Caenorhabditis elegans: one gene and its partners. The protein of the gene in region 3 interacts with the protein of the main gene of each other region in a pairwise test. Each region holds a gene or a part of one and is shown on either strand. Other genes may lie near its edges. The genes, in order: tag-343, lec-1, sma-1 and C09G1.4.

Region 1 (7,938 bases), on a different chromosome or scaffold from region 3:
AATTTCAAAATAATTATTGAATAGTTTGAGGGCAGGTAATTATTTTCGAATTCAAAGCGGTTTTTTTTGTAAATTTTTAAATGTATTTTTTCTTGCAGGTTTGTGCATTTTTTACTGTGTTTATATGCAGTGTACTCAAATTAGTATACAGAAAACTATCGTAATTGTTTGTCTACTTTGTGGCTAGCTAGTAAAAAATTTTTAAAAATTGTTTATTTTTTTTAATTTTACTACAATCTTTAATTGTTAGTTAATATTTCTGTTTTGATAATTCTTTATTTTGATTTTTCTCATTTTTCTCTACATGCATTTGAGCTTCAAACCCACGATAGAAGCTTGAAAGCAACAAAATTACTATCTTCTTTTCAATGTTTGAGTGGAAAGTTTAAGTTTTTTCATTCAAAACAAAAAAGTCATTGTTAGTTAATTCTAGTACGGTCTATATGTATACTGATAAAGTTTTTTTTTTTTAAATACCTAGACTGCTTCAATTGTTCGAACATGGCGTTTGTTAGAGCGTTTGTGGTGGTCGAAGTGTCAGTGATTAGAGCAGCAGCAGGCGGTACAGGCGGCGCGAAACTTGGAGGCTTTGGCGGCGAGACGGCCGTCGTTGGACGAAGTTGTTGTTGATGCTGCTTCTCACTGTACAGCGGTATGCCAACAGGCTCACTTGCCGGCGGTCTTGGAGGCGGAGATGCCGGAATAGGTGGCGGACGAATTGTCGGCTTTGGTGGTGGAGGTGGGGGTGTTGGTTTGGCAGGTGGATTGGATAGTGGAAGTGGGGGAGGTGGTAGAGGTGGTGATTCCGTCGGTCGGCCAACTTGTTGTTGCCTCGAGCTTTGCTCCACTTCGATAACTGTGGATCTAATAATAGAGTGAGAATGAGTGTTAGTTTATGAAAGCGGAAATGTAATGGAATGAAAAAAAAAGAACTGCAACCTACTTGCTAGAGGAGTAAACACTGCTTCTTGACGAGTTTTGTCCAGACTCCTGAACTCCATAGATACCATCATCCACAAATGGGAGACCCGAGATTGTGATTGGGGTGGTTTCCTGAAATTTAAAAATTTTCTTAAGTTTAGTAGTTTTTAGACACCAAAATTGCAATACTTCTTGGCTGAAAATGTACCACTATCCACAAAGTAAATATTGTTTGGAAATTGTTAAAAACCACTCCTTTGGTCCCAAAATGACCAAATATCATGATAAAACTTTTCAAACATTTTTTGAAAATTTTTTATGTACTGTCAAAGAGTGGAAATTACTCAGTTTTTGCCATTCATATTTTTGGAAGTCGACCAAAAAAAAATTTTTTTTCGACATTTTTTATGTTTTAATTTTGTTTAAATTTTTTGTATGAAAGCATCGGAGGTGTCGAAACATGCGGAATTGCTTTGGATTTCCTCAAAAGCTCGTATTTTTGAAAATTTTGACAACTTGCCAAAACTTTGACTGAAAATTACGAAAAACCTAAAATTTTTGGAGTGTATTATTATGATATTCGGTTGTTTCGGGTAATTTTAAGTACATTTAGACAAAATCCCCACTGGCGCTATTCCACCTTTAAGTTAAAAAGAGTTGTGAATTTTTTTGCAATGTTTCATCACGATAGGTTTTGGGAGCTATTATGAGTATTTTGAGGCAATACAAAAACGTTTCTATACTCCACTTTTGTTTACAAATTATCAACTACATATCAGTTGAAAGTTTTGAACAATTAGCTGGCTGAGAAATCAAACAATTTCAAGCCTTCAAAAGATACCAGGTCCAAATTGTAAATATCTCCTATTTAGGCAAAAAAGTGCCATTGAAAAGTACCTGTACTTTCTCCATGAAAGAATCGAATTGATTTACAGACATTTTCCAATATCTCCTCCGATGTTCGTCATTCAGCCGATCTTCTGAAATTATTAGAACGTTTTCTTTGCAATTCCCACACTGGTAGGTACAGGAAAAAACAAATATCGCCGGATTGGCAGTTTATTTTTCTAGCGATTCGCCAGCCCGAAAATGTTTGATTTAAATGGTCGTCACGTTTTACGAGAAAAGAGGGCGAAAAATGGAGAGAGATGGAAAGTGATAATTCTTATCGAGAGCACTCAATGCCAAAAACTATTCGGTCTGTTTACAACTTTTAACACGGCGCGAGAAAGCTATGCAAACGCTGAATCAATACAAAAATTTCAATCACACTCACCCATTTGTTTTTGAAATGTACAAGACGTGTTGATAGTGAACTTGGGACACTCTGATAAACCGAATCTTCGTAAAAGAGGCTCGAAAGTTCTGGAGCCGTCGGACGCTGTGATGAACACAACAATACTGTTGCGTACATGTTCTGGAAGATTGGAGAGAACCTGGAAATGTGAAAGTAGGATCTGAAGTCAAGTTCTAGATACCTGTTGCAGTTCGTCTTCTTCGTGCATGCTCATTCTGTGCAACTGTGAGAACACAATTGCAATAACGTCCAGTCTCATCTTCCAATTGTTAAGAAGCCATTTATGTATTAAAGATGGCGAATCGAAACCATCACTGAAATTTAATTATTATTGTATTTTTTTAATCCAAGTTGTATATTTTTTGTACTGTAAAAATTACTGTCTTAAGAGTTTTCTGCATTTTTCGTAAAGTTAGTGGTTAAAAAATTTTGAAATACATTGCAATAAACAATTGAAATACATTATGTATTTTTTTTAATTTAGTAGATTAACCAAAGTAGACAGATATTATCATCATAAAAGCTCCTAACAGAGGAGGATTTTACAAGTTCTGGCTAAATTTGTAAAAAGAAACACCCGTCGTACGGCTATTTAAACTACTAGGATCATTTATCTGGAAGGAATAAAATGATTATCACGTATTTAAAAAAAAACAAAATAGTATAAGATTTTCAATAAAGTGTTAAAAAACACACAAAAAAATGGCTGAGAAAATGCAAAACGTAAGCTATGCTCCTATTATGAAATCTTCAACAATTAAAATTTTTGCAATTTTAGAATTTTGAACAGAAGAGTTGCCGATAATTTAAATCATATAATTTCGAAATAATGAATTCAAAACCTATAGAAATCTAAAAGTAAGGTCCCTAGAAACCCCAAAAACTATTGAACACCTTATAAAACAAGAAGAGTTCTTTTTAGTCCTGTTTACATTTACTTTGATTTACGACCAGATAACAAGTCGAGATTTTACGACCTGTTGTTGGCCTAATGGTAGAAGACAGTGGTTAAATGACATGGACCTCTCCATCGCCACAGCAAAATTGTACATTTGATTATGACTGCTATGAGGGACTTAGAGGGACGGTCCTTTTGTTCCCAATAAGAGCCTACATTCAATAGTACATTAAATACATAACTGGGTTTGAACATTTGACACTGCTCTAAGTTTCAAGAAAATGGTAAAGTTTTGGCCAATTTAGTTTTAATTTAATTTTAATTTGTACCAGAAACCCAAAGTCGGTAGATATCCTATTTCTTGTTTTAACATTAATTCTAAGAATAATTTATTATGCTCATTGGAATTTGCAACTTTTATGATTTTTTCCCAATTTTGAAAAAAAAACCTACTATGTATCTCCACACGCGATCATATCCAGAATTACAGGACGAACCGACATTTTTGTTTCGTTAAAAATATAGCACTGTACAGGTTTTGTAGGAGTTTCCGAGTTGAATTTCTGCAATTCAATACTTACTTTTTCATATTACAATTGTAATACTTCATTGGAAATGTGAAATCTCCTTTGATCCATTGAATCCACTCCATAAAAATAATTACACAAAAAATCGATAAGTTCTGACTTTTGAGAACTTGTTGGTCCTAACAATAAGACTACCCGGTTTTCGCGTTCTTCGTTGTCTGAAAAAAAAAACAGTAAAATTCTCAAGATAATTAAGACTCCAACCTTCCTTCGCCGAGACAAATACAGTCCTAACATCCTTCTGTTCGAGAGCTTCACCCACAAATTTCGAGTCTGGGGAGATCATGTCCTCGAGCAGAGGAGTATCGGAAAGTGCTCTACAAGTTTTGATCAGTTATTTGAGTTGGGATGTGTTGCGGCGTACAAAATGTATAATATGCAAAATGTTTGTTTTGGTCATCGCAGTTTAGTTAAACTTTCATGAAGTGTAAGGTTTCGATTTGAACTGCAATAGTTTTTGAATAGGGCAAAAAGAAATTGTAGGGTTTAAAATACTATTAACCAGAACACAAAATTTAACCCTTGAAATAAGCAGTTTTTTACCCTGCACTTATTAATTTAACAAGAGAGCATTCGGATAACTTATATATTGTCAACAACACTACAAAAAACATTCGAGAAAAGATGAAAACAAATTGTTTTAAAAAAACTTTTTTGAAACATCGGAGAAAAATATAATTTCTACGTTTGAATTTTGAGAAAATTTTAAAAAATCGCCAAAAAATAATATTTGCCATAATACTAAATCTGGCTGAGATCTTAAAATTATTTTCAGAAAGTACTAAAAATCTGCAACAAATCTGCTGAAAAATTGAGAAAAAGGATTGTCGCCGTCAAACGACCTTACTTGAAGTTTTGAAAAATCTATTTTTCTCCTAATAATTATATTTCCTTTTCTAACGCAAATTCTGGGATACCTAATTAAATTGTGATGATATTCTCTAAAGAACTGAAAACCTGCACTAAAACTATTATAAAAGAAACATTTTTAATTATGCAGAGATAATATGGTGATGCAAGTTATTATTTTATAAATTGAGTCGTCAGTTAAAAAGGGGATGAACTAATCTCAACGTCAGTTAGAAAGAACATATTTTAAAGTTTCAAAAAAAAACTAATGTAGAAAAAATCGAACATTTCATTTTGCACAAACACGTTGAGTCACAAATGTGGGGTTGCCGAGCTGTGAAAGTGCACACGCAAAGAAACAAAAACTGTTCTTATCATCAAAACCAATGATAATTATTTTATTCCTATTCTACCGCTTATGTTTTTAAGTATAACGGTACTAGATCAGAATCAAAGACCTGTTGCGAAACTGTATGTTAGGGCACTTAAAACATCTTCAGCTAGCACTAAAATTCCAGGAAATTTTCGATTTAACCATGTTTGTATTGTATTCCTCACTGCGAATTCCACCACACTGATAACTCATTCCTGTCAACACACGTACACACATACCTGATCATTTTATAGCCGAATACTTTCCGTTAGGTTGGCTGTAAATCAGCGTTGAGAAGTCATAAATCGGTTATGGTCTTGACGTAAAAGTGAGAAAAATGATACATGATGATGGGTGATAATAGTGATAATAGAGGAGAAGAGAACATATCATATTTGGTAGTAGGATTGAAACCTGTTTTTTTTGTTCGATAACCTCCAGCAGCTACACGATTCATATAATTATTACGCCATTGCAGTGTATAAGGTGTACATGTATGGGTGTCCTTGTCACCACTTTTTGATCGAACGCTTCCCAAATTGAATGGTGAAACGGTACAGTGAAAGCAATAAAGTGTGAAGTACAGCTTGTTAAGAATGTTCTGCAAGACTTGTTTAATAATTATAGTTACAAACTCAAAAACTTTTGAAAAAATATTATGGTGGACACTCAGCCAAATAACTGAAAAATTGACTACTAGCTCGAAAACGATAATAAATTAAAAAAAAAACTATTGTATGTAGGATATAGAAAATTTTTCACGGAGGTTATCTTTTTCACAGTTATGAATAAACTTATTGTTTAGACACTCACACCAGTGAGCATATTTGCATTTTAGTTAAATGCGAGGGGGCAGATAGCTCAGTCGGTAGTGGTGGCCGCTAGCAGTCTGGAGGTCACGAGTTCAAGTCCGGCCTCACCCCCTAGGTTTACCCAGCCTCTATTGGGAAGTGGAGCAATCCACGACAGGATTATCGGCCACAGTCCCCGGCTAGGACGTGGCTTAAATTACAGCCCAGAGGGATCACCACCAGGCAGTGTACCTGAATCCCAGATCCGCAGTGCATAGCACTTGAAGAACGGATCGTCCTTTAATTTTTTTTTTTAATTACCTCGCGAAACTTACAATTTCCTATTTTCGTTTTTACCTTTCTGCTGGGTTTTGACATTTTCACGACAGGGTTTTTGAGAAAAATCAAGGGAAATGAGAAACGAGGGTAGTAAATCGTGATCCACGCGCAAATTACATAAATACTAAATAAAAAACTCTCAAAAATAGTTTATGAACTCGCGGCAACATTTTTTGCATAGTTGTGCCACTTAGTAGAAACACTGAAATTTATGTGCTATATCATTTAAATATTATTTAACGACGTTACTATCATTGTACACGTTTCTCTCTCTAAGTAAGTAAGTAAGTATCTAAGTATCTTAGAATGTTGGGTTGTGTCAACCGTATAGAAGAACTGAAGTATTTCTATGCCATGTGAAATATTTGAGCCCTAATTGCCTTCTCTGTGGAATTCACGTTTTGATGGTATTTGTTCATGAATTATTTTGAATTTTTGTCATCCGAATGCCACAGTTATGTGTCAGACAGCATACTCGTAGTTTTAAATTTTACTAGTCAAGTAGAACCATGCATCATTATGGTGGATAACTATCGTTTTTCTGAATTAGTGCAATTTATAAATTGGAAACAATTAAAACAATATCAAAACAATTTATTTAATACATCAGGGCAAAATATCACATTTAAAAAAACGTCCAAAAACCCCCAACCAAACTCCAGGCAAAATTTAGCAATGATGATGATGGTGGAATGGATTCCAGTGATGATGATGATGATATGGTTCCTCAATAACAACAACTGGTGGTGGCATTCCATACATTGGTGCAGCCATCATTGGTGCAACTGGAACTGGCATTGGAGCAACCATTGGAATTGGAGCAATTGGTGGAGCATATCCCATTGGTGGTGGGACATATCCGACTGGTGGTGGGTATGGGTACGAACCGTTGTAGGGGTTATAGGCCATGGCGAAGAAAGTCGAACTGAAAGTTGAGAAATGTCAAGAAAGTCAGAAAAGCGGCACGAAGAGGGTTAAGTAAACTGATAGGCAAGGTATTAAAAATGAAAATGGAGAAATAAAAACGAGGCAAATGTCATGAGGCCAGTCAAGGTACTGATGGGAATAGGCTGATAGGTCGAGGTATTTTATATCGTTTTAGTATCAGCGGGAAGGAGAAACGCGTCACTTGATATGCAAATAGTGTGACACTTTTCCCGAATAAGTTTCTCCTATTCATCGATTTCGAAAATGAAGGTTCAATGAGTCATTGGAAGAATTGGAAGAATGACATATTTAGAAATAAAAAAAGCAATAAAAATAAACAAATTCTAAAAAAGAAGATCTAATTAAAGAAATAAAAGTTGCCATATTGGAAGAAGTGACGTTAGTATTTGGCTCCCGTCAATATTGACTCAAAAACATCAGGAGCGAAAGCTATGTCGAAATAGAATTGAGGAACAATTGTTTTATTTCTGTCAATTTTTCGTGCTTATGGGAATCACTCAAATACAAATCAATCTAGACGATTCCGGAATCAAAAGTCAAAAGCTTATCAGTAAGCGTACACAAAGCAATCAGTGGTCTTCAAACTTTTGGTAAATAGAGTTCGAGCCAAAGTAAATCAATTCATAGTACGTGCATAAAACACGGATGAAAAATTTGTAAGGAGATATATATATATGGACACTTTGAACTTTGGTTCAAAGTTTGGAAAAAAGTTTAACGCAGTGTTTTTGTTGAATACAAATGCACTTAAATGATAAATTAATTTGTTTAAACCGAGAAATTAATGGTGAAAATTATGTGAAAATGCCCAAAAAAAAAGACTCATTTCATGTTAATATTTTTATTTCTCTACAATTGCTGCTCTTTTCAGCACGAAATATATATAATTTTAGCTCAAGTCCTAATTTTGCCAAAGTTTTAGTGATTAGCAGAAA
Region 2 (8,073 bases), on a different chromosome or scaffold from region 3:
TGCAAATTGCCGTATTTGAAAATTTCCGGCAAACCGGCACAAATTGCCAGAATTGAAAATTTCCGGCAAATCGGCAAGTGCTGGATTTTAAATTTTTGAGAAATCGGCAAATTGCCGGAATTGAAAAATTCCGGCAAACCGGCGAATTGCCATAATTGAAAATTTCCGGCAAATCGGTAAACCGGCAAATTACCGTATTTGAAAATTTCCGGCAAACCGGCAAATTGCCGTATTTGAAAATTTCCGGCAAACCGGCAAAAATTGCCAGAATTGAAAATTTCCGGCAAACCGGCAGTTTTCCACCCCTGGTTTAGTCCCGATAGTTCCGTTCCACACATTCCGAATAAGGCAGAACGTAGTAGTACTCTTCAAACTTTTCGATGAAAAAGTATAATTGTGTGACATGAGGTGGAGGACGCGGGATTTCCCGCCACATTTCACTTGATACTCGTGCGCGCACACACACACACACGCTTATTCGCATCCATTTTTGATGTTTGAAACGTTTTCCAACTTTTGGTTTCACAATACACACGAGCGAGCGAAGCCAAATGAATCGAAATTTGGGTGTGTCGTGTGGCTGAGGCCAAGGCAACATTTCAAAGTATTCCCGATTTCAACCAGATGGATACCACATGTGTCGCGCTTTTTCGATAGTGTTTCTCTATTTATGAGACACTGTGACATAGCAAACATCTGCACTTGAGAAGGAAAAAATGAACACTTGGGCTCTCTCGAGAAACTAAACTCATTGGATTATTTTTCTCTTTCGATTAGGCGCTTCGTATTGAGTTTCAAACAAAAAAAAAGACGAAAGTTTCAAATTTGTTGCGTTTTTCGAGGTTTGTGTTCTTCACAAAAGCCACTTGAAAAACCAAAAAAAAAAGCCATTTTTGCCAAAAAAAAAGACAGAATTTTTTTTCAAAAAAAGTTTACATTTTGGAAAAATACCCCAAATGTTCTTATAATCTGAAATGCTGCCAACTTGTCCTTGGCGCAGAATTTTTCTTGCATATTCAATGCGACTTAATCATATGTGGGCGGCAATTTCCATTTTTTGTCGACAAATTCGGCAAATTGCCGGTTTGCCCGAAATTTTCAATTCCGGGAATTTGCCGATTTGCCGGAAATTGTCAATTCCCACAATTTGCCGATTTGGCGAAAATTGCCTATTTCGGCAATTTGCTGGTTTGCCGGAAATGTTCATTTTGGTAAATTGCCAATTTGCCGGAAATTTTCAATTTCGGCGATTTGCCGATTTGCCGGAATCGCCAATTCCGACAATTTGCCGGAATCGTCAATTCCGACAATTTGCCGGAAATTTTCATTTTTAGTTTTCCGGCGAATTCGGCGATTTACCTGAAATTTTCAGTTCCGGCAAATTGCCGATTTGCCGAAAATTGACAATTCCGACAAATTGCCGGTTTCCCGTTTTGCCGGAAATTTTCTTTTTTGGTTTTCCGGCAAATTTGGCGATTTGGCGGACATTTTCATTTTGGCAAATTGCCGATGTGCCGATTGGTCGGAGATTGTCAATTCCGGCAAATTCCCAATTTGCCAGAAATTTTCATTTTGGCAATTTGCCGATTTGCCGATTGGCCGGAAATTGTCATTCCGGCACTTTGCCGATTTGCCGGAAATTTTCATTTTTGGTATTCCGGCAAATTCTGCGATTTGCCGGCTGGCCGATTTGCCGGAACTTTCAAATTCCGACAATTTGCCGATTTGCCGGAAAAAACTCGTTTGTCGCCCACTCACAAATTTTTAAATTGAACTTTTTTAAATTCTAATTAACTTTAGAACCTTTAAGAAAAATTTTGAAATTCTTGCTCAAATATTGACATAAACCGCCTATATACAGTACCTCATAAAAGCCTAGAAAGAATATGTATTCAAATTCAATCATAAATGTGTCACCACCTCATCATAAACAAATCTCTTCTCCCCTCCCATATTTTCTCACAATTTTATCACCATGGTTTCTTCTTCTTCTTCTTCTTCAGAGAGAGAGAGAGCGTCATTTCTCACACACACACACAAAATTTTCCTGCATCTCTCACACACGTTCTGTGCTCTTTTGTCTCTTGTTTACACGTCTGTTGTCTCTCGGACTTTATTTACGAAATGCTGCGTCTCTCCTGCCCTTCTCTCTCTCTCTCTCTATTGCGCCCAGAGACCACACTTTTATTGCCATTGTCGTCGTCGTCGTCGGAAATTTTCTCGCTTTTTCATCTTCTTCTTCTAAATAATCATGTTTTTAAAATTCAATTTTAATTTCAGGAACCACCGAAAAGCCACCACCAGCAAAAAATGTCCGCCGAAGAGCCAAAGTCCTACGTGAGTTTCGTTTCTAACGGTGTTGTAACAACAACAAAAAAGAAAAGAATAGAAAAAAAACCGTATCAGTACGGGGGTGATGAAAGTGCGGCGGCGGCCCCAGTCAAGCGTAAGAAATAATGAAAAAGAAAGGACAGAAACTTTTGGAGAATTTGCCCGTTTCTGTAAGTGTCACCTCTATAGTTCACCACCGATGTTTGGACTACTACTACTACGTGTTGAATCAGAAGGAAGATCAGACGCCGCAAAAAATATATTTGTTGATAGTTGATTTCGAAATTGTAGTTCTTGACACTGATGATTGATCGTTAAGTGAACAATTTTAAAGAAACGATTTTTGCATAACGTCCAGTTTGCAGCAATTCTACAGAATCAGGTTGAAAAGCTTCGAATTTAGAAACGTCTTCAGCTAAAGTGAGACCAAAATGTTTCCATCAAAAGCTCAAAAGGCATTTTTAATCTCTTTTTTCCAGCTTGAAACAATTTCCAGTTGATCTTTAAGATGCTTACCACTCGAATTTCAAATTGCTTCTGCAGTCTTCTATGTTAAGCCGTGTCTCATCATGAATGTCCTTTCTCTTCGATGTCTTGTGCCTTCTTGAAAATCTTCCGACGAGTAGTAACCTCCTTTTTCTCGAATATAGAACAACAAATGGCAGTTTGGCAATTTGGCAATTTGGACAAAACACTAGTACACCATGAGAACCTGCCTAAGATCAATGCCACATTTTTTCTCGCCTTGGCCCTAGTTGTGCAACACCTTTTCAACGTTTGAAGCAGGGGTGGGCGGCAATTGCCGGTTTGCCGGAAATTTCAATTCCGGCAATTTTCCGATTTTCCGCAAATTTCAATTCCGGCAATTTTCCGATTTGCCGGAAATTTCAATTCCGGCAATTTGCCGATTTGCCGGAAAAAAATCGTTTGCCGCCCACCCCCTGGTTTTTGAAGTGCATTTCGAGCCTTTGAAGTTGAAGTTTGCACGTGACGCCCAGACTCGAAATGCGGTAAACAGTAATGCGAAGACGCAAATATTGAGCATGGATTTTGCTCCGAAAACTTTTGTTGTTTGAGTTTCAACAAATCATACAAAAAAAATTTCGAGCTGAAAACTGTACCAACACTCATTATCGATCTCTTCCTCTCCAGAAAGTTCCGTTCCTTTTTTCAATTTCACTGTTTTCTTCGCCTACAACGACACGATGAATCATGGCGAGAAGTCGTATGCGAGAGACTGTACGAGAAGTCGGAGACACAGACAGATGCACAAAAAGAAACATTTCAATGTCGCCTCGCGCACATGCTGTCACCCTCCCATAATTCCATGCTCTCTCTGACTCAATATTGGGCGGCGCTTGCGAATGTTATGACTGTTCAACTGTCTGGTTTCTCTCTCCTCTCACACTCTCAGCTTTTGTTGAAACTGTTTACCGGTCGTCAGTTCTTCGTTTGACTCGCGTCCTGAACGATCGCTTTCAGTTTTCCTCAGCTCAACTCTTTACACTAATGTCTTCCACTCCTCAATTCCTTCGCTGGTACGAGCAGAACAAGGTAAAGCATGCCTCTATACATGGGGGTGTCAGGCTGTCCCATGTTTGATCTACAAAAAAAAGCGGGAATTTTTTCTCCTGCAACTTTTCGGAGATCAAACTGACATGGGACATTCTGACACCAGCTCGAAAATGGAGAGCATTCCAAGTTTGTTGGTTGCCACTAAAGTGACACATTCCTCTCGTTATCTGCTCGCCCACACCTTCGGTTCCATTATCAACATTCGAGATTCCCGCCATATTTCTGGTGTGTTTGCTCGGCGGCACATCACAACAAAATTTTGTGCAAAATGGAGCAAAATGGAGCTAAAAAATAGAAAGCAACTAGACAATGTAGAAAAGGCATTTTTTGTCGTCGTCAGCTGTATGAAAGTCTGGGGAGCGCGAAGATTGGTGGATGCAGATTGGATAACAGCTCTTCCGCTTTTTCGGGTCTCGCTTCTTGCTCGCTTATTCTGTTCACCAGTGTGTGACACGCGAGGTCCCCCCCCCCCCCCAGCATATATTTCTACATGATTACCCTACTGAACATTTTAAAATGGCATATGGAAGAAGAAATGGTTCTAGAAAACTCTACTTATAAATCTATTACCGAAACACAAAATTCTGAGAATGCGTATCGCGCGACATATTTGACGCGCAAAATATCTCGTAGCGAAAACTACAGTAGTTCATTGTTCATTACATGACTACTGTAGCGCTTGTGTGTCGATTTACGGCATTTCACAAGCGCTACAGTAGGCATTTAAGGAGTTACTGTAGTTTTCGCTACGAGATATTTTGCGCGTCAAATATGTTGTGCAGTACGCATTATCAGAAAAATGTGTTCCCGTAATAATCCAATTAATTTTTTAAAAAATTAAAATTTTTAAATTTTTCAGCCAGTACCATACCGCTCAGTGCTCCAGGAGAAGTTCGAGCCCGGACAGACGCTCATCGTCAAGGGATCGACGATCGACGAGTCGCAACGCTTCACCATCAACCTTCACTCGAAGACCGCGGATTTCTCCGGAAACGATGTGCCACTCCACGTCTCTGTCCGCTTCGATGAGGGCAAAATTGTGCTCAACTCGTTCTCGAATGGAGAATGGGGAAAGGAAGAGCGCAAGTCGAACCCAATCAAGAAGGGAGACTCGTTCGACATTCGCATCCGTGCTCACGACGATCGCTTCCAGATCATCGTCGACCACAAGGAGTTCAAGGACTACGAGCACCGTCTGCCACTCTCCTCAATCTCTCACCTCTCGATTGACGGAGATCTCTACTTGAACCACGTTCACTGGGGAGGAAAGTACTACCCAGTACCATACGAGAGCGGACTCGCCAACGGACTTCCAGTCGGAAAGAGCCTCCTCGTCTTTGGAACCGTTGAGAAGAAGGCCAAGCGCTTCCACGTCAACCTTCTCCGCAAGAATGGAGACATCTCGTTCCACTTCAACCCACGTTTCGATGAGAAGGTAAGGGTTGATATATGCCACGAGGCACCACAGAAAGGAGAACCACGACAAAGGAGAACAGGAACCACGTCCATTTTTCCGTGCCGCGAGAGGCACCACATTTTCAGGATCTGGAACCGTACCAACTGCGGTTTTTGCAGTTTTCTCTCGATGAAAAACGAAACAACGATGCTCCGATGTTATGCGTGTTGTTTAGCGTTTTCCAAAAGTTTTTATTTCAAAAAAACATTATTCTGAACGCTAAACAACACGCGACGCGTCATATCGGAGTATCGTTGTTTCGTTTTTCAGCGAGAGAAAACTGCAAAAACCGCAGTTGGCACGGTGCCCCAGATCCTGAAAACGTGGTGCCTCAAAATTTGCGGAAAACTTGCGGCACGGAAAAATGGGTGTGGTTTCTGTGTTCTCCTTGTTCACCTGTTCTCCTTTCTGTGGTGCCTCACACACACATACACAAAAAGACCCGCATTTTGTTTGCTACATTTGGGCAAATATGGCGCTCTTCAACAAACAATTTTATGAGACACAAAAGTTTTGCATGTGTCTATTTCTATTGGTAAAATTGGTGAAAGGACAAAAAAAAATCGATTTCAATAGAAATTTGACCAAATTCTTTATTTCCTTTCTTCCAGCACGTCATCCGCAACTCTCTTGCCGCCAACGAATGGGGAAATGAGGAGCGCGAGGGAAAGAACCCATTCGAGAAGGGAGTCGGCTTCGACTTGGTCATCCAAAACGAGGAGTACGCGTTCCAGGTGTTCGTCAACGGAGAACGCTACATCTCGTTCGCTCACCGCGCCGATCCACACGACATTGCCGGGCTTCAGATCTCTGGAGACATTGAGCTGTCTGGAATTCAAATCCAATAAATTATGTATTGATATCCCCTGTTCCCCCTCTTTCTTCTGTTATCCAGCTCTCCCATTTCTCTCTCTCTCACTGATCAATCTTCCAAAAGTCTACTGCCCCTCTCCCCCCCCCCCCCCCCCAAAAAGAATCATTTCTCTATTATTTCGCACCGGCAACTGAACTGTAATCCCGCGTTTTTCTTTTTGTATCTTTTCTCACCCCCCACATTGTATTTTAATAAAATTGGATAGCAGATTTTCTCGTTGTCATTTCAGGTTTCATATTTTGAAAGCGGATCATCATGAAAAGTTCTGCGAAAAAAACGCGAAAAGTAAGCGAAAACTCGAAAAAACTATATTTGAAAGTACCGCCGTTTTTGTCCAGGAGAGCGCGTTTTCCTCGAGTCACTACAAATTGCACGGAAGTCGAATCGTGAAAACCGCGCGTGTTTCCCATCAGGTTTGCCTACAAAATTTAGTTTTCTTCTTATTGTTAAATCAATAATTATTATAATGTATAATGTGAAGCTCGAAATCTTGAATAATCCTGAATAATCCTGCTATAAACTCGGGTTTCTAAAGTTTTCCTCAGGATTTTTGTTCCCTGGAATGCGTGGTGTCTCCCATTTTTTTTTGGATTTTTGGATTTAAATGCATTTTTCGCTGTTTTTTCTCTCAAATAAGCCGGAAAAATTGAAAATTTTCAGTTTCCGATGAGCGCCGACACGTCGGCTCGTCTTCTTCAGCTTGACCCTCTACTCGAAGCGAAAAATCCGAATGTTCGAAATGAAGCGGCCGCTGCGTTCGGGAAATTGTCAATTTTAAGTGAAGACGTGAAAAATGTTGGTTAATTAATATATATTTTTTTTAAATCACAAGAAAAAGTAAAAAATCACGGGTGAAAAGCGAGTTTATATATTTTTTTCCCTCGAAATGCCGAATATTAATTATAAAATTCAGTATTTTTGGGTTATTTTGAGTATTTTGAAGGTGTACTAACGGTTTAGACTCAAAAACCGTTAGTCTTCGTTTAAAATACTCAAAATGCCCCAGAAATACTGAATTTTATAATTAATTTTCGATATTTCGAGTGAAAAAAACATATAAGCTCGCTTTTTTCCGGTGATTTTTCACTCATTTTCAGTGATTTTTTCACTTTTTTCAGGGGTTTATCTTTTTTAAATACTTTAAATATATAAATAATCTTAATTTCAGAGTCTCAAAAAACACGCGGCATCTCAACTCTGGGAGACACGAGTATCTGCTGGAAAAGCGTTGCAGGCGACACTTCAGAATGCTCCAGAATTCGAACGATTGAAGGTTTTTCTGAGCTTTTTGAGTTATGAAATTCTTTAAAAAAATCGATTTTTCAGAATGAAGAAGACTCATCGGTATCGGAAAATGTCAGAAGCATCGTTGTGATGAACGTTTTACGATCGTTCAAGCCACTGTTAAGTGATGATGAGTCGGCACTGAAAAAGTCGGAAAAAGATCGAGGAAATAATCAGAAACAGCGGGAAATTGTAGATCAACACCTTGAATACAATCGGGCCACCGGAATAAGCTCGGTATCGATTTTTCCGGCAGTTTTCTGGGGAAAAAACCAAAAAAAAACGAATCTGGCGCCCAGATTTGCTTAAAAGTCAATTTTTTTTTCAATTTTTCACAAAGTTTTTTGAGAAAATTTGGATTTTAGCTAAAATTTTAGTACGTTTTTCTTGCAAAAATTTGGGGTTTTCTGAGTTTTCGGTTTCTAACCCATGAAAATTCGAATTTGGAACCCAGAAAGTCATTTTTTTCAATTTTTTAGAAAAAATCGAAGAAAAATTGCCGAATTGCCGGAATTGAAAAATTCTGGCAAATCGGCGAAATGCCGAAACTGAA
Region 3 (8,080 bases):
TATGCGAAAATTTTGGAGATTGTTTTTCTATGGAAGTGATTATTGTGAATGGTCCGCCGACATCTACCAAAATGTGAAAATAATGCATACACGTGCCCAACTTTCTTTATTTGATTCGAGTGTAGCTTATTCAATATTTTTGTTTTTCTAATACAAACAAATCATCTAAACCTACCAATAAAACTTTTGAAGTATTTAATTTGTGTTTGAAAATATCGTTTGAAACTACTCGGTACTTTAGAGCAACTTCCTGCCAAAATTTGGCAACTGCCACCTGGCAACTTAATAAATGTTTCTCAAAATTTGGAAACGGGTAATTTCCAAAAATTGGTACTTCCATGTGGTAGAAAACGTGAAATCTCTACCTACAGTTTTGTGCACGTTTGTATCACAATGCATCCAGAATATACCGTATATCCTCTATTAGTTTTGCACCCCTTTGCTCAACTTTGGCAGCTCATATCTCAGTAGTCGTTTGTTCTAAAGAAAAGTTGTCTACTGATAAAATATTTGTTAGATGTTTTTCTATAGTATGTAGTTTGTTAATTATTTATATGTTCAAAACAAAATGAGATATGAGCTGTCAAAGTTGAGCAAAGGGGTGCAAAACTAATAGAGGATATACGGTAAACGTTTCTCATATCTGGTGAGTACACGAATGGTCAGCGAATCCCTACTTTTTTTGGCATCTGGAAACCATGAAAATACGTCGTTTTAATATTGCAACTACACAAAAATGTTATGATGCATTTCCATATGTGACGTCAGATTACCAAATTCAAGTATTCCCACGATTCTCAGAGGTCAATCTAGAGTTTGTAGTTTGACCTACAGGAGGGTCCATTCGACTGCCATTGTAGTCTAGTCCGCAAATTTGCGTCACTGTGCTGGTGGAGAGCGGGAAACGGGAGAGGTGAGAGGGAGAACACCCTTTTTTCTCCCGCGTAGAAGACCTTTTTGAAACACAGCCCAGTGTCGAGTCCGTAAACACCGGCACGCTCAAGTGAACGTTTTTTATCAAGGCCGCGTTTTTCGAATAACATTTCTCAATAGTTTGTGGTTTTATTAAATGGGTTTCACGTTTTACTATAATAAATAATTTTACTTTCAAAATAAAATTGATGACCATAAATAGTAATTTCTGGTTTTTTTTCAATCTTCGACTTCCGATTCTTTGTAAGTTACGGTTTAAATCTGTTCATGTAAGCTTATATCTTTTGTAGATCTATAAATGATTTGTTTTAAATCTATAAGATTTAAAATACACAGTTATATTTTACGTGTTTGACAGCAATATTAGCTTTAAAATGAACCTAATTAGATCTAGAAACCGATACTTGTGCTTTCCATGCAGAATTTGAAGAACGAAGTGTTTCTAGTTTCTTCTCGTAATGAAATTTACATGGGATTTTTCACTACCCCTGTAAAATTGATTCTTATTTTATCACTCAACTTGTTTTTGAAATTTTGTTTCCCACCTCTTGTAAATTTGAAATTCTATGTATCTAACGGGCAATGTCCTTGGGAATGTGTGCACGTGGTATCTTAGACAACATAGGTGTTCTTTTTATAATCTAGACAGTGTTCCTTCTAGAGTAATTCATACTTCACTAGTTGTTCTGTTTATAATATACTGATATACCAAGTGATGGTGACACAGTTTTTAGAGATAATCGACGCTTATTCATCAGTTAAATTTCTGAAATATGTAAATCTGCGCTGCGCAACATAAACCCTTTTCGATGAAACAAACCCTACAGTGTCTACTTTAATTTATGCGATTTTTCTTCCGGTCCTTCATTCCTTCAGTTTCCGACATTTGTAGCACATCTGGCGACGATTCATACCGACCCTGTAGCACTTTTTTGTTCAATGTGTTCGGCACAAGGTTATGCGCACTTCGCCTCTTTCTCCTATTCGCTAATACTAAACGAAACTTATCGCATTTACATTCTCACACTTCCACTTTTCAAAAAAGTAAAGAATACTACTTGTAAGGTGGTAGTGGACGACTGTCGGTGTCGGTTTTGTCGAGATTTCGTCTTTCATTCGACTGATCGGACAACTAGATACACTGAATTAGGTGGTGAAAGAAACTTTTCTTTTGAAAAAGGAGAGACCTACGTTTTTCTTGTCCGTTTCATTTCACTGCCTTCTGCCAAAATATGTGTGTTTTCTCACTGTTTTATCATCCTTTCAAAGTCTTGATTTTTTGGCTCGCAGTTTTTATGGTTGTCGTGGAATTGTTTGGTTCTCTGTTCCTCTTTGCCACAAAAAGTTTGTTGACTGTAGGTTAAAATTCAGTACTCTTTTAAAGATTTTTTTTACTGTAAACTACACGATTGTGAAAGAAACTTAGTCGTATTTTGTCAGCTTCAGATTTCGGCAAATGTTTGAGTCGGGAGTACAGCTCTGTTTATCTACATTTCCATTCTCTTTTCAAAAGTTGTTTCCCAAAACACCTGTCGACCTGTTACCCGTCCATAAATCATGCCAATATCATTGTCAATATGACGGCGTTTATGGTCAAGTATACCTCAACGAAATGCGTCAACTCTGACGCATCCGTGTTGACAGACGAACTCAACTCATCATAAGTACACAAATGGAAACGTATACACGCGTTGAATGAATAGATTGAATTCCTAGAAATGGGTGTGTTTTTTCCTTGAAGAATTGATCCATATGCGTTGTCGAAAAGTTGTTCTAAAATAATTTTCTGAATAACTAGAAGTTTTACAGTAATTAAAGTTTTTCGTTTGTTCAGAGATACTTAGTATTCTTAAGTTGCCTGTGCATATTCCTGTCATGCCTGTTTAAAGTAACTCCAGTGGGATTAACTATCAGAAACTCTCCCTAAAATAATATACGAATATCATAATAAGACTTTTATTTGAAAAAGTTTTTTGTAGGCAAACACCAAAATAACTAAATGTCCTCCACTCATAATTTTTGAAGTAGTCCGAAACATTTTAATATTCTCATATTTGGATTATGTTTTAAGCATTTTATAGGTCCAAAAATGAGGCATTGTTTTAAACATTTCCAAAAACCGACATTTTCGAAAATTGGCAATTTGCCAAAACTTTGAACAAGAACATGTATGATGTCTTTTTCTAGAAGTCAACAAATATTGTCAACAATAAACAAGAAATCATAAAAAACTATAATAATAAGTGGGCTGCTCATGGATAAGAACAAAAAGCGGTGTTCTTCCTGGCTCTTGAAACAGACATGTTTGAACTCAAGTGCCCCACTGTGGCGGTCAGCTATTTTTGTGTTTGTCAATTTCCGCCACCGGAATCCTCGATTTCTCGCCCATTTCGGCCACCACTCAATTGTTGCCGCCGCTGAACATTCCTTCCGTTCTTTTCCCGTCAGGCGAATACACATATTCGATACTTTTTATCCATCGCGCCGATCGATGGATGTCTTCTAATCGTCTCCGACACTTTCTCCGTTACTTCTTTCTCTCTCTCATCATATTCGGATAGTATTGTATAGAGAGACTCGGCAAAGGATAAACGAACGCCGGACGTCGTTGCAATTGAACACAGAAGAGATAAAGATTATATAAGAAGTTACCTTCTGAAGACTGAGGAGGAACCACCACGGCTACTGTCCGAGTGTCGCCGTGTTTCCTTGACCCTTTTTCTCCATATCTGACAAGAATCGAACACGGATTGTCAAGACTGTTCATAACGGAGGAAATACTACCACTTACTATTTTTCGACTTTGCTATATACATAATATATTCTTGCTAATATTGTGAAGCTTTATCATGTCGTATGTGTCGTTCGCGGCAAGCTACTCGCCTGGAGAAGGCAAAACAGTTCGAAATCTCAATGGTATGTGCTCTTTCATTTTAAATTCTTTGTAATAAGTTTTTCAAAAAAATTCTGAAATTATTAATTTGATTTTGGGCACATCAAAGTAGGTGCAAATTAGTTTCTGCAAACAAATTTTCTAAATTTTTATATTTGTGTTAAGTAGTCTTCTAAATTTTGGCGCTTGAATATATAATAGATCGAAGTAAAAAATTGTATGAATATTGCTAATTTTGGTGTTGTTGTGTTATATGCATTCTTGCACATTCTCACAGTCTGCTGCATTCCTTTCTCTCTTTATTTCTTCGTTCTCTCTATATGGAAGTGGCGAGAGGGTAAATATGCAACACTGCATACCATCAGTAGAGCGTCCATAGAGCCGTGAAGGAAAAGGGCACAGTGATAGGTGGTAGTGTTGAAGTGTCAATACAATTTAGTACTTTTTCTCTTTCCACATATTTTTGTCGCTATTCTAAAGTGAATCATTGTCCTCTGTGTCATTTCGATTTGCAATTTACCAAGTATGAGATATTTATGTATCTGTCTTATTGGGATCTCTATGCTGTGACAGATTGCTTCACTAAAATAAACAAAGTTCCAATAGCATTCCCTCCGTTGTCTAATCCATTTTCTGTTCTCACTTTTTGCCCCCTGGGTTCGTCTTTACTAATGAGTTCAGCAACCATCCCGCGGAGCACATTTCAGTGACTCATTCTTCTTTTTCGCAGTGATAAGACGCTGTTATCAGATGTAATAAACACGGGGAACGCCCCCACCTCCACAATATACCTTACTTTTAAAATTTTGAAAATTTTCGTGACGTTTCGAACTTTCTCTGCTTTTTTACTTGAAATTTAATCTGTCAATGTTTTTTGCTGGACATTTATAGCGATTGCTAAACACGTCTCTTTTTTGTTTAATTGCAGAATAGTTCCAACATTTTCTCAGAAAAAATTTCATTCGAAAAGCTTTCCAATTATTCCATTTTCTTTTTTGTAAGCCTTTTCTGATTCCAGTTAAATATTACTAACTTTGTTTGTGTCGCGTCGTCGTACGACATCCGACGTACAAATTCTTAATAAGTCATATTTCACGTGAACATTATTACGTGAACTTTGCCCACACACACAGAAAATAGTCGCACACATAGGAATGCCACGTGTACCACGTGTGCCACTCTTTCACTGTTTATGTTCGGCGAAACATTTCTTTATTTCAAAAATCTTTCACTTTTCTTGAAAGTATTTTGTTGCTGGATACAATTTCCCGTTTTAATTGTAAGTTAGGTTCAAACTTTTTCTCTGAAAAACGATGTGATTCCAAATATTAATAATCTTTGTCTTTTTTGTGCCACGTGGGCGTCTCTGTTGCATATCATTTTGATCATTATTCTCTTCAGAAATGTATATATAACTTGTCTTTCTTTTTTCTCTATCTATTAGTCACTTAACTACTCAAGAAACTTTCAAATTTATCAACTAAAATGTATATTTTTCAGACAAGGTAGAAGGGTATCGCAAGGAGATTGCCCCAAGTCGCGAAAACGTTGACTTCGATCACTTGCGAAGAACACCTAGAGATCCTTTACCGGAGAACGACTATCAGGCGACGAGCAGTACTGGATTATCGAGTGGGGAAGTAAAACCCTACCAGTACCGCGACTATCACCAACATCAGAAGCACGAGTATTACGGCGAAGGAGTGAACGACGGTGTATCTGAAGACAACGTTGAAGACAAAATGAGAAAATACGAAATGCAGGCAAGTTTATATTTATGAACTAGACAGGCTTTTTAAAGTAGCATCAACCTGTAGATCGAAAATGAATGTTTAAACCTATTATGATTGGATTTTAAGATAATCCGATTACGCGTTTGAAACATAAATCCCAATTTTGCCAATAGTCAAGCCAACACATCTAATATTTTTGTCAGATTGTAGTAGTTGTTTATATTTGCTCTAAAAGTCATGCCGAAAAAGTTAATTTATTCAATATCTATGAAATCAACAGCTTCATCTCCAACCCCAAGTGTTAGAACATTACCTGAAGAACAGGTAGTTGCTGTTTTTTTGTTTTATAAATTGTTCATGACTCATGAACATTTGGAGATCATTCATTTTCTTAAAGTAGTCAGCTGACGTGCTCTCATACACTCTATGTTATTTCTGTTTATCATTAAGGTCGGCAAGCGTCTCTCCCGGTTAGGAAGGCTATGCTGTCAAAACGGAAAGACGCTGAGCTAGTAAATATTTGTTTTTCCTTATATGTAACAATTTTGGTTCCGTAATATTATTCTGGAAAGTTTTAAAGATCCGAAAAAAAACTGAGAACGTTTAGAAATATTTAACAGTTCAATTAGCATCAAGTTCATAATGATTTTTTCAGGTTCGTGTTCCAACAAGTGGTGCACCACCAGTTCGCGCAGATGCCAATGGAACAGATCAAGACGAGTTCAATAATGAGACACTGTACTTTGAAAGATCACGCATTCGGACACTGCAGGACGAACGTGTGCACATTCAGAAGAAGACGTTCACAAAATGGTGCAACTCCTTTCTTAATCGGGTAAGTTGTGATAACAACTGATTGGAGTATTTGATTCTATAACGGCGGTCATCGTTAACACGAGAGTGAATAAGAGAGACGGGTAGAATTAGAGGGAATAGGTGAGGGAGAAAGGTTCAATTAGTCGGAAGAATTGTTTACGGAAAGAGAAGAGGATAATGCAACGGGAAAGTAATGCGGACCAAGATGACCTTGCAAATTCCCTTATCTTTATCTGGAGATCAGTTTGCATGCAAGAACGAAAGGAATGTTCGGATGAAAACCAATGAAATCAACTGAATTCATTCGTTGCATATGGGGTAGAACCAGTGCGGAATTTGTCAAAATACACTTGATATAGTCTAAAAGAATATATTAACGTAATTAGAAATTATAAATGTTTTTTTAGAGTTGTAATTTTCAATCTTAGCAAAATGGCAACATTTTGCAAAGTTTGGGGTTGAAAAAATATAATTTGAAGATTGGTATTTGAAATCTTATCATAGTTAATCACAAGGGTAATTATAAATATTTGAAAAAATAAGAATATAAATTTTAACTTCCAAAACTGTGACTTGGTATTAATATAAGTTTAGGAATTAAAACCATATAAGCACAACAATTTTTCAGGCAAGTTTGGAGATTGTTGACCTTTTCGAAGATGTCGGCGATGGTATTATGCTCATGAAACTTCTTGAAATCATTTCCGGAGACAAACTCGGAAAACCGAATCGTGGCCGAATGCGTGTGCAGAAAGTGGAAAATTTGAACAAAGTTCTTGACTTCTTGAAGAAAAAGAAAATCCAATTGGAAAATATTGGAGCCGAAGACATTCTTGACAGAAACGAGCGACTTATTTTGGGTCTCATCTGGACGATTATCCTCCGATTCCAGATTGACACTATTGTCATTGAAGTGAGTTTAGAGAAGCCATTGTTTGTTTTAGTTTAAATTTTTCAGGATGAGGAGGAGCGTGGAGAGCGAAAACATGCCAAAGATGCCTTGCTGTTGTGGTGTCAGAGAAAAACAGCTGGATATCCAAATGTTCGCATCGAAAACTTCACTACAAGTTGGCGCAATGGATTGGCTTTCAATGCACTTATCCATTCGCACCGTCCGGATCTTGTCGATTTCAATCGTCTCAATCCAAACGAGCATGTGGATAATCTGAATCATGCGTTTGATGTGGCTGAAAAGAAGCTTGAGATTGCACGTCTTCTTGATGCTGAAGATGTTGACGTTACCAGGCCTGACGAGAAGTCAATCATTACATATGTTTCCTTGTACTATCATCATTTTGCAAAGCAAAAGACTGAGATGACAGGAGCTCGACGTATTGCTAATGTAAGTGTTTATAAGTTCATGAAAAAAATTAACAAATTGTTTTCAGATTGTCGGAAAACTTATGGTTTCGGAAACCATGGAAGATGATTATGAACATATTGCTTCTGAGCTTCTCAATTGGATTCGTGTTACTATCAAGACATTGGAATCACGTCGTTTCCCAAACTCTCTTAATGGAATGCGCGAGGAACATGCCAAATTCAACCAATTCCGAACAAGTGAGAAACCACCAAAGTACAAGGAGAAGGGAGAACTCGAAGCTCTGTTCTTCACAATCCAGACTAAAAGAAAAGCGATGAGCAGAAAACAATATCAACCACCACAAGGACTGTTCATGCACGATATCGAGTCTGCTTGGGCACA
Region 4 (7,985 bases), on a different chromosome or scaffold from region 3:
TACTTACAATGATTTAAAAGGACCTGATATCATAATAAAACACTCCAAATTTTTTTAAAAGATTTTTCATAATTTCCTCTCAACGTTTTGGCAAATTACCAAAATTTTGAAAAAAATATGAACTTTTGAGGAAATCCAAAGCATTGTCGCATGTTCCGACCCCTACAATGTTTTGATACGAATAATTAAAACAAAATTAAAGTAGAAAAATGTAGAAAAAAAAACATTTTTTTCCGTCGACTACAAAAATTATGAGTGGCAAAAACTGAGTAATTGTCACTTTTTGACAGTAAATAAAAAATTTTCAAAAAATTTTTGAAAAGTTTTATTATGATATTTGGTCATTTTGGCAACATAGGAGTGGTTTTTAACAATTTACCCACTGGCGCTACTCCACCTTTAAATATTGCAAATCAACATAAATATTATCGATTCTGTACCTAAATTCTCAACTATTGTCATCTCGGTAGACATGTTCTTTCAGTGCAAACTTAGAACCGGCTCTGCCAAAGATCACTGAATATATTAATTTCCTGGGCCCATTAAATATGCATCTATTCCTACTTGAAAACGTAAAACCTAAGAAATATTGAATAGCAAACGAAATAGGTGGTACATTTTTCAGCGTCTGGGGATGCCCAGCATGTAAAGTTTACTTTTTAATTTTGAGATGAGAAAACTGGTTGATATGATTTCATTTGCCAAAATTTGGAAAAATATGAACTTTTGAGGAAATCCAAAGCATTGTCGCATGATCCGACCCCTACAATGTTTTAATACAAATAATTAAAACAAAATTACAGTATCAAAAATGCAGAAAAAACTAATTTTTTTTGGTCGATTTCCAAAATTATCAGTGGCAAACACTGAGTAATTGCCACTTTTTGACAGTAAATGAAAAATTTTCAAAAAAATTTTTGAAACGTTTTATTATGACATTCAATCTTCCGGGCACCATATGAGTAGTTTTTAATACTTTCCCCACTGGCGCTACTCCACTTTTAACTTTCCTTTACAGAAAGAAATGACGGAGTTAATTTTAGAATAGTTCATAGTTTGGTGTTTTAAGGTAATTTTAAACTGTAGAAATTTTTTGGAGGATTTGGAATTTTCAATTTAAATTTTTTAGATCTTGCTGATCACATGCCAATTTAGAATCCATATACCCTACTTATATATAAACTTTATTTCAGTTTCTCTGAAAATGTTCTGATGCTTTTCTTCTGTTTTTTACTAAATTCAATGAGTACAGCAAACTAAAAAGATATACTTGAACAAATGTTATACTTTTTTATAGAAAAATCGTTGACTGTTTTCAAATGGCTAATAGTTCCTAGTTCAATAAAACAATCCAGCCAGTTCAAAACTTACCGAGCCCACCACACCCAAACTCCCTCTCAGCTATTCCTGATATGGAATGGCAATTCAATTCAAATCAGTACAAACATTTGAAAAGAGAAAAGTCTCGGAGAAGAGGGAGTGCATCATGAAACGCGTCACTAACAATCAGAGGGGACTAGCAGGTTTCCGGTCTTTTTCGAAGAAATCAAGCTTTATGATACGATAACTATAGTGAGCCCCTATTTTTTTCTCGGCTTTTGAAATACTATTTGAAAAATAAAATGGTATGACGTGCATAGATGGTCCTATCAGATTTTTTTTGTGGCGAAATAATTTAACATCTTACTATTAGTTCTGTTAATCGGAACGCATTTATTACAAGTTTTCCGACAAATTGAAAAGTATTTTTTTACCCATTATCTATTACCCGTTGCATAAATTATCAATCTTTAGTTTTGTTCGCTATTTTCAGTATTCTTCTTCTTTCTTTTTCTCCCCATTTTTTCGCGATAGATTTATGTGTTTCCTGATACATCACGTACATCCTGCTGCTTCGGCTCGCACAAAAAGAGAAGTTCGTCGCTTAAGAGTAAGTACATCATTCACTAAGGCATCACAACCATCTGGCGAGATTAAACATGTGTTTAACGAGAGGGGGACGGGATGGAACCCTAACTTTTGACGTGTGTGTGTGTCTACCGCCATTCGGGTGTTAGATTACCAAGCAATAATGCAAATGGGTTTGGCGGTTCAGATACTGATCATAAGTGAGTCACATTTTTGGTATTGCGGTAGTTTTTGAAGTTTAGAATTTTGAAGTTAAATTTTTCATAGTCCTCTTTATAGTCATTACCCTCAATTTAAAATTAAAACCCAATGACAATCACGAAAAAGTTTGCAATACCAGTGGTTTTATTAAACATAAATATTAGGGCTTTCATGCAGGCGACGTCTGCCTCGTGCCGCGAGCCGCGCCTCCTGCTTAGTGCTGCGCGGAACCCGAAAAGTGTCGGCCGCTTCCATGGAGGTCCTAATAGTTATCATCAAAAGCTTTTGGGGTCTCTTCTGAACAATCTCGCCATTTCTATGTTTTCGCCAAAAAATCCTAGTTCTATGTAATGTTTACACTGTATTCAAGTTCGTTTTTTTTCACTTTTCCAGAACATTCCTTGCTTTTCTTCTGTACACCCACTCTTCTATTTTTTTTCTTGTTATCACATTGTTCTGAACGACTGCATTGTGTGTTGTATGACCTTTTCCTTTTCGTGATCAATCCGTCCCTGGGGACAGTTCTATTAGGTCGGTGTGCCCACGAATGGTGTGCATTCTAGAGATAGTAGTGAAGAAAAACTGTTTTTTTTTTGCTTCAAGTTCGAATGCCGAAGTTGGTGTTCAAACATTGAATTGTCAATGGGGACACAAGTTGTTTTTTGTTTTTTTTTAATAGAAAGTTTTAGGTGCATTGTTTGGTTATTTTGGAAGAAAGCTGTATTTTTGAAAGCGTGCTCTTAATCTTTTTTTCCGATGCTCTTTCAATCAGTTTCCTTACTCATCATAGTAAAATCCGATATTTCTAACAATACGAGGGTAGCTATTTTTCACTATTTAAAGATTAAAGGGTCAAAGGACGATCCGTTCTCCAAGTGCTATGCACTGCGGATCTGGGACTCAGGTACACTGCCTGGTGGTGATCCCACTGGGTTGTAATTTAAGCCACGTCCGAGCCGGGGACTGTGGCCGATAATCCAGTCTTGGATTGCTCCACTTCCCAATAGGGGCTGGGTGAACCTAGGAAGTGAGGCCGGACTTGAACTCGTGACCTCCAGATTGCTAGCGGCCACCACTACCGACTGAGCTATTTGCCCCCTTATATATTTAATTACTCTTGATCAAAACACACCTAAAACTTCCAAGACGTCAGTACGTGCACCAGTGCCAGTCACGATTGTGTCCACTTTACATATATATCCAATTAACAGTGTCACTTTTCACATCTTTACGTCCATCTCGCTTTTTTTTCGCCTTCTTTTTTTCCCCTACTTTTCCGCAGCCCCCAAAAATTGAGAACATACCTTAACTAGGCCGATTATATCCCATCAGGTCTTTGATGTTATCATTTGTTTCTTTACCTCTGATATGTTATCTTTTTTTTCAAATTGTTCTCTTATAAACTTACAATTTTCAGAGACACAAATCACAATGTCTTCTGGAAATCGGCAGGCTCCAATGCCCCCACCAAAACCTCGAAATTTGGGGCGTGGCCAGTTTTATCAACAAGGAGGTACGTCATAATTATTTCTCACTTTTTTTTCCAAATTCAAAATTAATTTCTTCTTTTTTGCACCAGTCATTCAGTATTCGCTCGTCATCTACAAATAGAAAAGGGAAAAATTATGAATTTTCAATAGACGTACCTTTTTTTGAATACGTGTCTTTTTCGCAAAAAATGTTTTTTTTCTGTGATTTGTTTCTAATATTTTTTGTAAGAGCAAAGTTATTACCTACCATATGCCTAAAATAAATGTGGAATACTAGATTTCGAACATGGTGCATCGACTGGAAAATGTTTTTGGCGCTTGTTGCTTAAAAAACAGGTTACAAATATTTATTCACGTTTTTTTTGGAACATTTACTATGTAATACATAATTTCTTTTAACCGTTTGAACAATTTTTTTCCTGTTTTTTGCTCTAGTCATTTAGTATTCGTTCATCATGAATTATTTCCGAGCTAAAAGAGGCAAATTATGAATTTTTCAAAAACGTACTTTTTCGAATGCAGTGGTGTAGCCATTTTTGCACAATTATGTTTTTTACATGTTTCTATGAGTTCAGTTCAGCCACAGTTTATGGATACAGATATTCATAATATGAAAGATATTTTAAACACGTAACTACTTCTGGAGTTTTTTTTTTTTTATTTTTGTTTAGAATTGTGAATATGCTCCGAAATCGGTCTTTGCAGAATTTTCAAAGTAACATATTAAAAAATTATGAACATTATATTTTTTTCGGTAAAATGTTTGGTATTTTTTAACGGAATGTTTTAAAAAATTGCAAAATTTTTTCGCTATTTTTCTTTAAAAGTGGAGTAGCGCCAGTGGGAAAGTTGTTAAAAACCACTCCTTTGGTCCCAAAATGACCACATATCATAATGAAACTTATTTATTGTCAAAAAGTGACAATTACTCAGTTTTTGCCAATCATAATTTTGGAAGTCGACCAAAAAAATGTTTCTACATTTTTTATACAGTAATTATTTGGATTAAAACATTGTAGGGCCCGGAACATGTGAAATTGCTTTGGATTTCTTCAAAAGCTCTTATTTTTCAAAATTCTGAAAATTTGCCAAAGTTTAACCGGAAATTATGAAAAGCCTGAAATTTTTTGAATTGTATTATTAAGATATTTGGTCTTTTTAGATCATAATGAGTGTCTACTCCATGTTTAAATAATACCCGTTTTTGCCTATTCCCCAAAACTCCAGTGGCCATTAATAGTCTGCAAGAACTAATTTCGGAAAATTTAGATCTGAAAGTCATTGAAACAAAACAAACTCTATTAAAATTTTAGGAGCGCATTTCCGCTATTTAAAACTTTTCAATCGTCTCTGTGAAATAAATGTTTTCAAATTAGGTAAAACGTTAGGTAAGTCTTGAGTAATTCTTAGTTAGTGTTGAAAACGTTAGTGTAGAAAAAATTTTTTTTGGAGCAATTGAATTTAACTGCTAAATTGTGCGTTTGTATTCCAAAATTTTGAAGCGAATCTAACAGATATTTGATCTCTGGCTTTCAATTGCAAAGTAATTCTCCCTTTTTTGTCGCTCACCACAAAGCGTCAAGTTTTCTCAGTTTCAGTGTAACATGCCATACACACCAAAACGACAAGCTTTTCAAAATAAGAAAAACGGAAAGTGAGCAAGTGACGCGGCGCGCGGTCAGCGTTTTTTTTTGTAACCCATCTCAAATGCCAAGTCTCTGTGTTCGTGGACCTTTTCAAGCGAGACTATGTCTGTGTATGTGTGTGTGCCTTTTTCATTTTTGCTCCCGAAGAGCCCAGTACTACACATTCAGAACTTTTACACTTCTAGCTCGGCACCATGTGCTGATCTTGGTCCAACAAACCCCAACAAAAGTGCGTTCTGCGTTTTGCCCGCAACCCATTCCTGCTTATTGCATTTTGAGGAAGAGCATTCAGACAGCGCCCATGATGCAGAATATTTGCGCGTTTTTTTTGAGTGTGTAAACGGAGAGCCCATTCTGAAAATAATCATTGGTTGCTGAAGAGGGCAAAGAATCGTAGCGCTACCAGTGTTTACTTGAGCTTGATCTTGGAATTTTGATTGGAACCTTTTTGATTTGAAATATAATTTTTGAACAGTATACTGAAAAAGTATGAAGCTCAACTGAAGCATATTGAGCTGAAAAAAGTAAATCTGAAATGTTCAGCACTTTTTTTCTACTTCCGATGTCTTTAAAATTGCTTTAAAAATATACTTACAGTCAACCATTTTAGAAATGCAAAACAATTTTTTCACTGATTTGTTTGATAAAAAAAACCACGTGGGGTCAAAGTGTCCCATGTTGGTTTGATCTTCAAAAAATGCGGGAGAACTTTTCCCCTGATTTCGTATGGCTAACCATGTGTGCTGACGTCACATTTTTCTGAAAAAAAAATTCCCGCCGATTTTGTAGATCAAACTGTATTAGGACAGCCTGACACCATTTGAAAATGATGCAAAAGATTTTCAGATCGGCTTCAAAGAGCTTCAGTTTTTCTTCAGACTTCAGACTTTCAAAGATATAGGCATTCCCAGTGCTCCTCGAGAGCATGCCTCACTTCTCCGTGTGGTCGAACCGAACCACTTCAACCCTTAACAGGCACGAGGGAGTGGACGAAAAAAAAAAAACGAAAGAAAAATGTGCCAAAACTTTTTTTTAGTGAGGGATGGGGTGTTGCACTCTCGTTTTGCCGTCCTCTTTCTTCTCCCCTGCTCTCTACTCTTCGGTAGATGTCATCAATAATTCTGTCCAAACATGCTTTAAACTCATTGTTCTTCCTCTCCTGATCCCCTTGTTGCTGCCGCCACCAAAAAACGTCACGTTCCACTTCTTCTTCCTCTCCTGCTGCTACTTTTTGCAGTTTCTTTTCGCCTATACATTTTCATTTTTTTGTCGGCGGTTACTACCGCTCCAGCTCCTACTTCCATTTTTTTCATTTTCATTTTATCTCATTTATAATGCGGACATATCGCGTTTCCCCCCAAACAGACCCTTTTTTTTTGGTTTAAGGCCGTGAGAAATAGAAAAGAGAGAGGAGGTGGAGAAGTAAAAGTAAAGTAAATGAAATAGCAGAGGTTATTGCACTTTCATATTTTTTTTCATTTGCAGGGTATCTCACCCCACAAGACAGCGACACGGACAGTGGCATAAGTGCAGATTGTGATCAAGGTTCACCGAGAGCAGCTGCAGGGTTTGGTGGAACAGGGTTTAACGGTACTGTCAACGGACAGCAAGTGAACTCCCAGAGGAGGATACCAGGTGAGATAATGGTATTGGTATTTCTAATGTTGAGGCAAAAAGGAAGATTAAAGTTACATTGCTAGTGGAGTCAGAAAGTCTCATTTCGCTTTGATCTACAGAAAATGCGGAAGGTGAGACGCAGACATCTCATCTGATTTGGCATGGCCCAAGAGCGTGCTGACACATTTTGACACATACAAATTTTTAGGGAAAAAATCCCGCATTTTTTGTAGATCAAACTGTATTGGGACAGCCTTAACTTCCCGTGAGAGGGCAAGAGTTTCTATAAACGGTTCAATTATTTACAAAAAAAACTCAGAAGTGTTGCTAAAAATTTGGACGGCCCATGTCGATTTTTAACACGATACATGCGCAATATTTGCATAGTTTTTAGTGGATGAAATTGTCAATAAAAAATTTTTGAACTGCGGTACTGTTTTGTTATCAAATCCTTACATCTTCGTAGTCACCTTCCACATTTTTCAGATCTCCCCCCTGGAGCATATCAGAACTACCGTAGTCACTCATCGGCCGACTACCTCACGCCAAACTCGGCGCGCAAGATTGCCAGCTACAGCACCACACCCCGACGGCTACCACTGCAACCCCAACAGCAAGCACCTGCAACGGCCACGAAGGCCAAATACCGAGTCAGATTCGCCGATGAGGTGGACAGCGGCGCGTCGACGTCAAGCGGAACCTCCTCCACACACATTTCGCCGAGAAACGATCCACAGGAGATGCTGATGAATTCAGGTGAGCACGGGTTGCAAATTCTATAAATTAAACTTTTTAAGTAAACTTTTTTTTTGCTCGAAAAAACACTGCTCAAGTTGTAACTAATTTATGATTGATATGTGTGTCTTTACTTTTTTCGGGTATACACTATGCTTCTGTATTGAATTTATTATATATTTTTCTGGAGTAGTAAATTATATTTTATGTTTACTATATTTATATTTATTTTTTGTAATTGTAAAGTATTAAGTCAGTTCTCTATACAAGAACAAGAGTGGGCTATTTAGCTTAGGTTGTTAGTTTTAGACCCCAGATTTAGGCCCTATAAAAACTAATATTTATAAGTATGCTAGAATCCAAACAAAAACCTGAAAAAAATCCTTTA

Evidence for each region.
Region 1: the proteins of sma-1 (region 3) and tag-343 interact in a two-hybrid assay, tested with the Caenorhabditis elegans proteins (one large-scale study listed by BioGRID).
Region 2: the proteins of sma-1 (region 3) and lec-1 interact in a two-hybrid assay, tested with the Caenorhabditis elegans proteins (one large-scale study listed by BioGRID).
Region 4: the proteins of sma-1 (region 3) and C09G1.4 interact in a two-hybrid assay, tested with the Caenorhabditis elegans proteins (one large-scale study listed by BioGRID).

Annotation. Positions count from the first base shown.
Region 1 is NC_003284.9:16,670,744-16,678,681, forward strand, and holds the start of tag-343 (RNA polymerase II-associated factor 1 homolog), read right to left. Parts: upstream 3,990-7,938; coding exon 3,908-3,989; intron 3,862-3,907; coding exon 3,722-3,861; intron 3,680-3,721; coding exon 3,570-3,679; intron 2,533-3,569; coding exon 2,400-2,532; intron 2,358-2,399; coding exon 2,198-2,357; intron 1,902-2,197; coding exon 1,819-1,901; intron 1,054-1,818; coding exon 944-1,053; intron 865-943; coding exon 478-864; intron 1-477. Other genes in the region: F22H10.3 (Spore coat protein), read right to left, coding at 6,725-6,964.
Region 2 is NC_003280.10:13,193,269-13,201,341, forward strand, and holds lec-1 (Galectin), read left to right. Parts: upstream 1-3,677; 5' UTR 3,678-3,840; coding exon 3,841-3,885; intron 3,886-4,765; coding exon 4,766-5,341; intron 5,342-5,973; coding exon 5,974-6,210; 3' UTR 6,211-6,445; downstream 6,446-8,073. Other genes in the region: btf-1 (BTAF (TBP-associated factor) homolog), read left to right, coding at 6,903-7,031, 7,405-7,509, 7,563-7,757. UniProt on the Caenorhabditis elegans protein: Binds galactose.
Region 3 is NC_003283.11:11,895,782-11,903,861, forward strand, and holds the start of sma-1 (Spectrin beta chain), read left to right. Parts: upstream 1-3,667; 5' UTR 3,668-3,782; coding exon 3,783-3,849; intron 3,850-4,126; exon of another isoform or gene 4,127-4,298; intron 4,299-5,326; coding exon 5,327-5,589; intron 5,590-6,214; coding exon 6,215-6,394; intron 6,395-7,003; coding exon 7,004-7,288; intron 7,289-7,333; coding exon 7,334-7,717; intron 7,718-7,763; coding exon 7,764-8,080.
Region 4 is NC_003284.9:15,992,477-16,000,461, reverse strand, and holds the start of C09G1.4 (uncharacterized protein), read left to right. Parts: upstream 1-3,524; 5' UTR 3,525-3,540; coding exon 3,541-3,622; intron 3,623-6,023; exon of another isoform or gene 6,024-6,247; intron 6,248-6,730; coding exon 6,731-6,880; intron 6,881-7,348; coding exon 7,349-7,618; intron 7,619-7,985.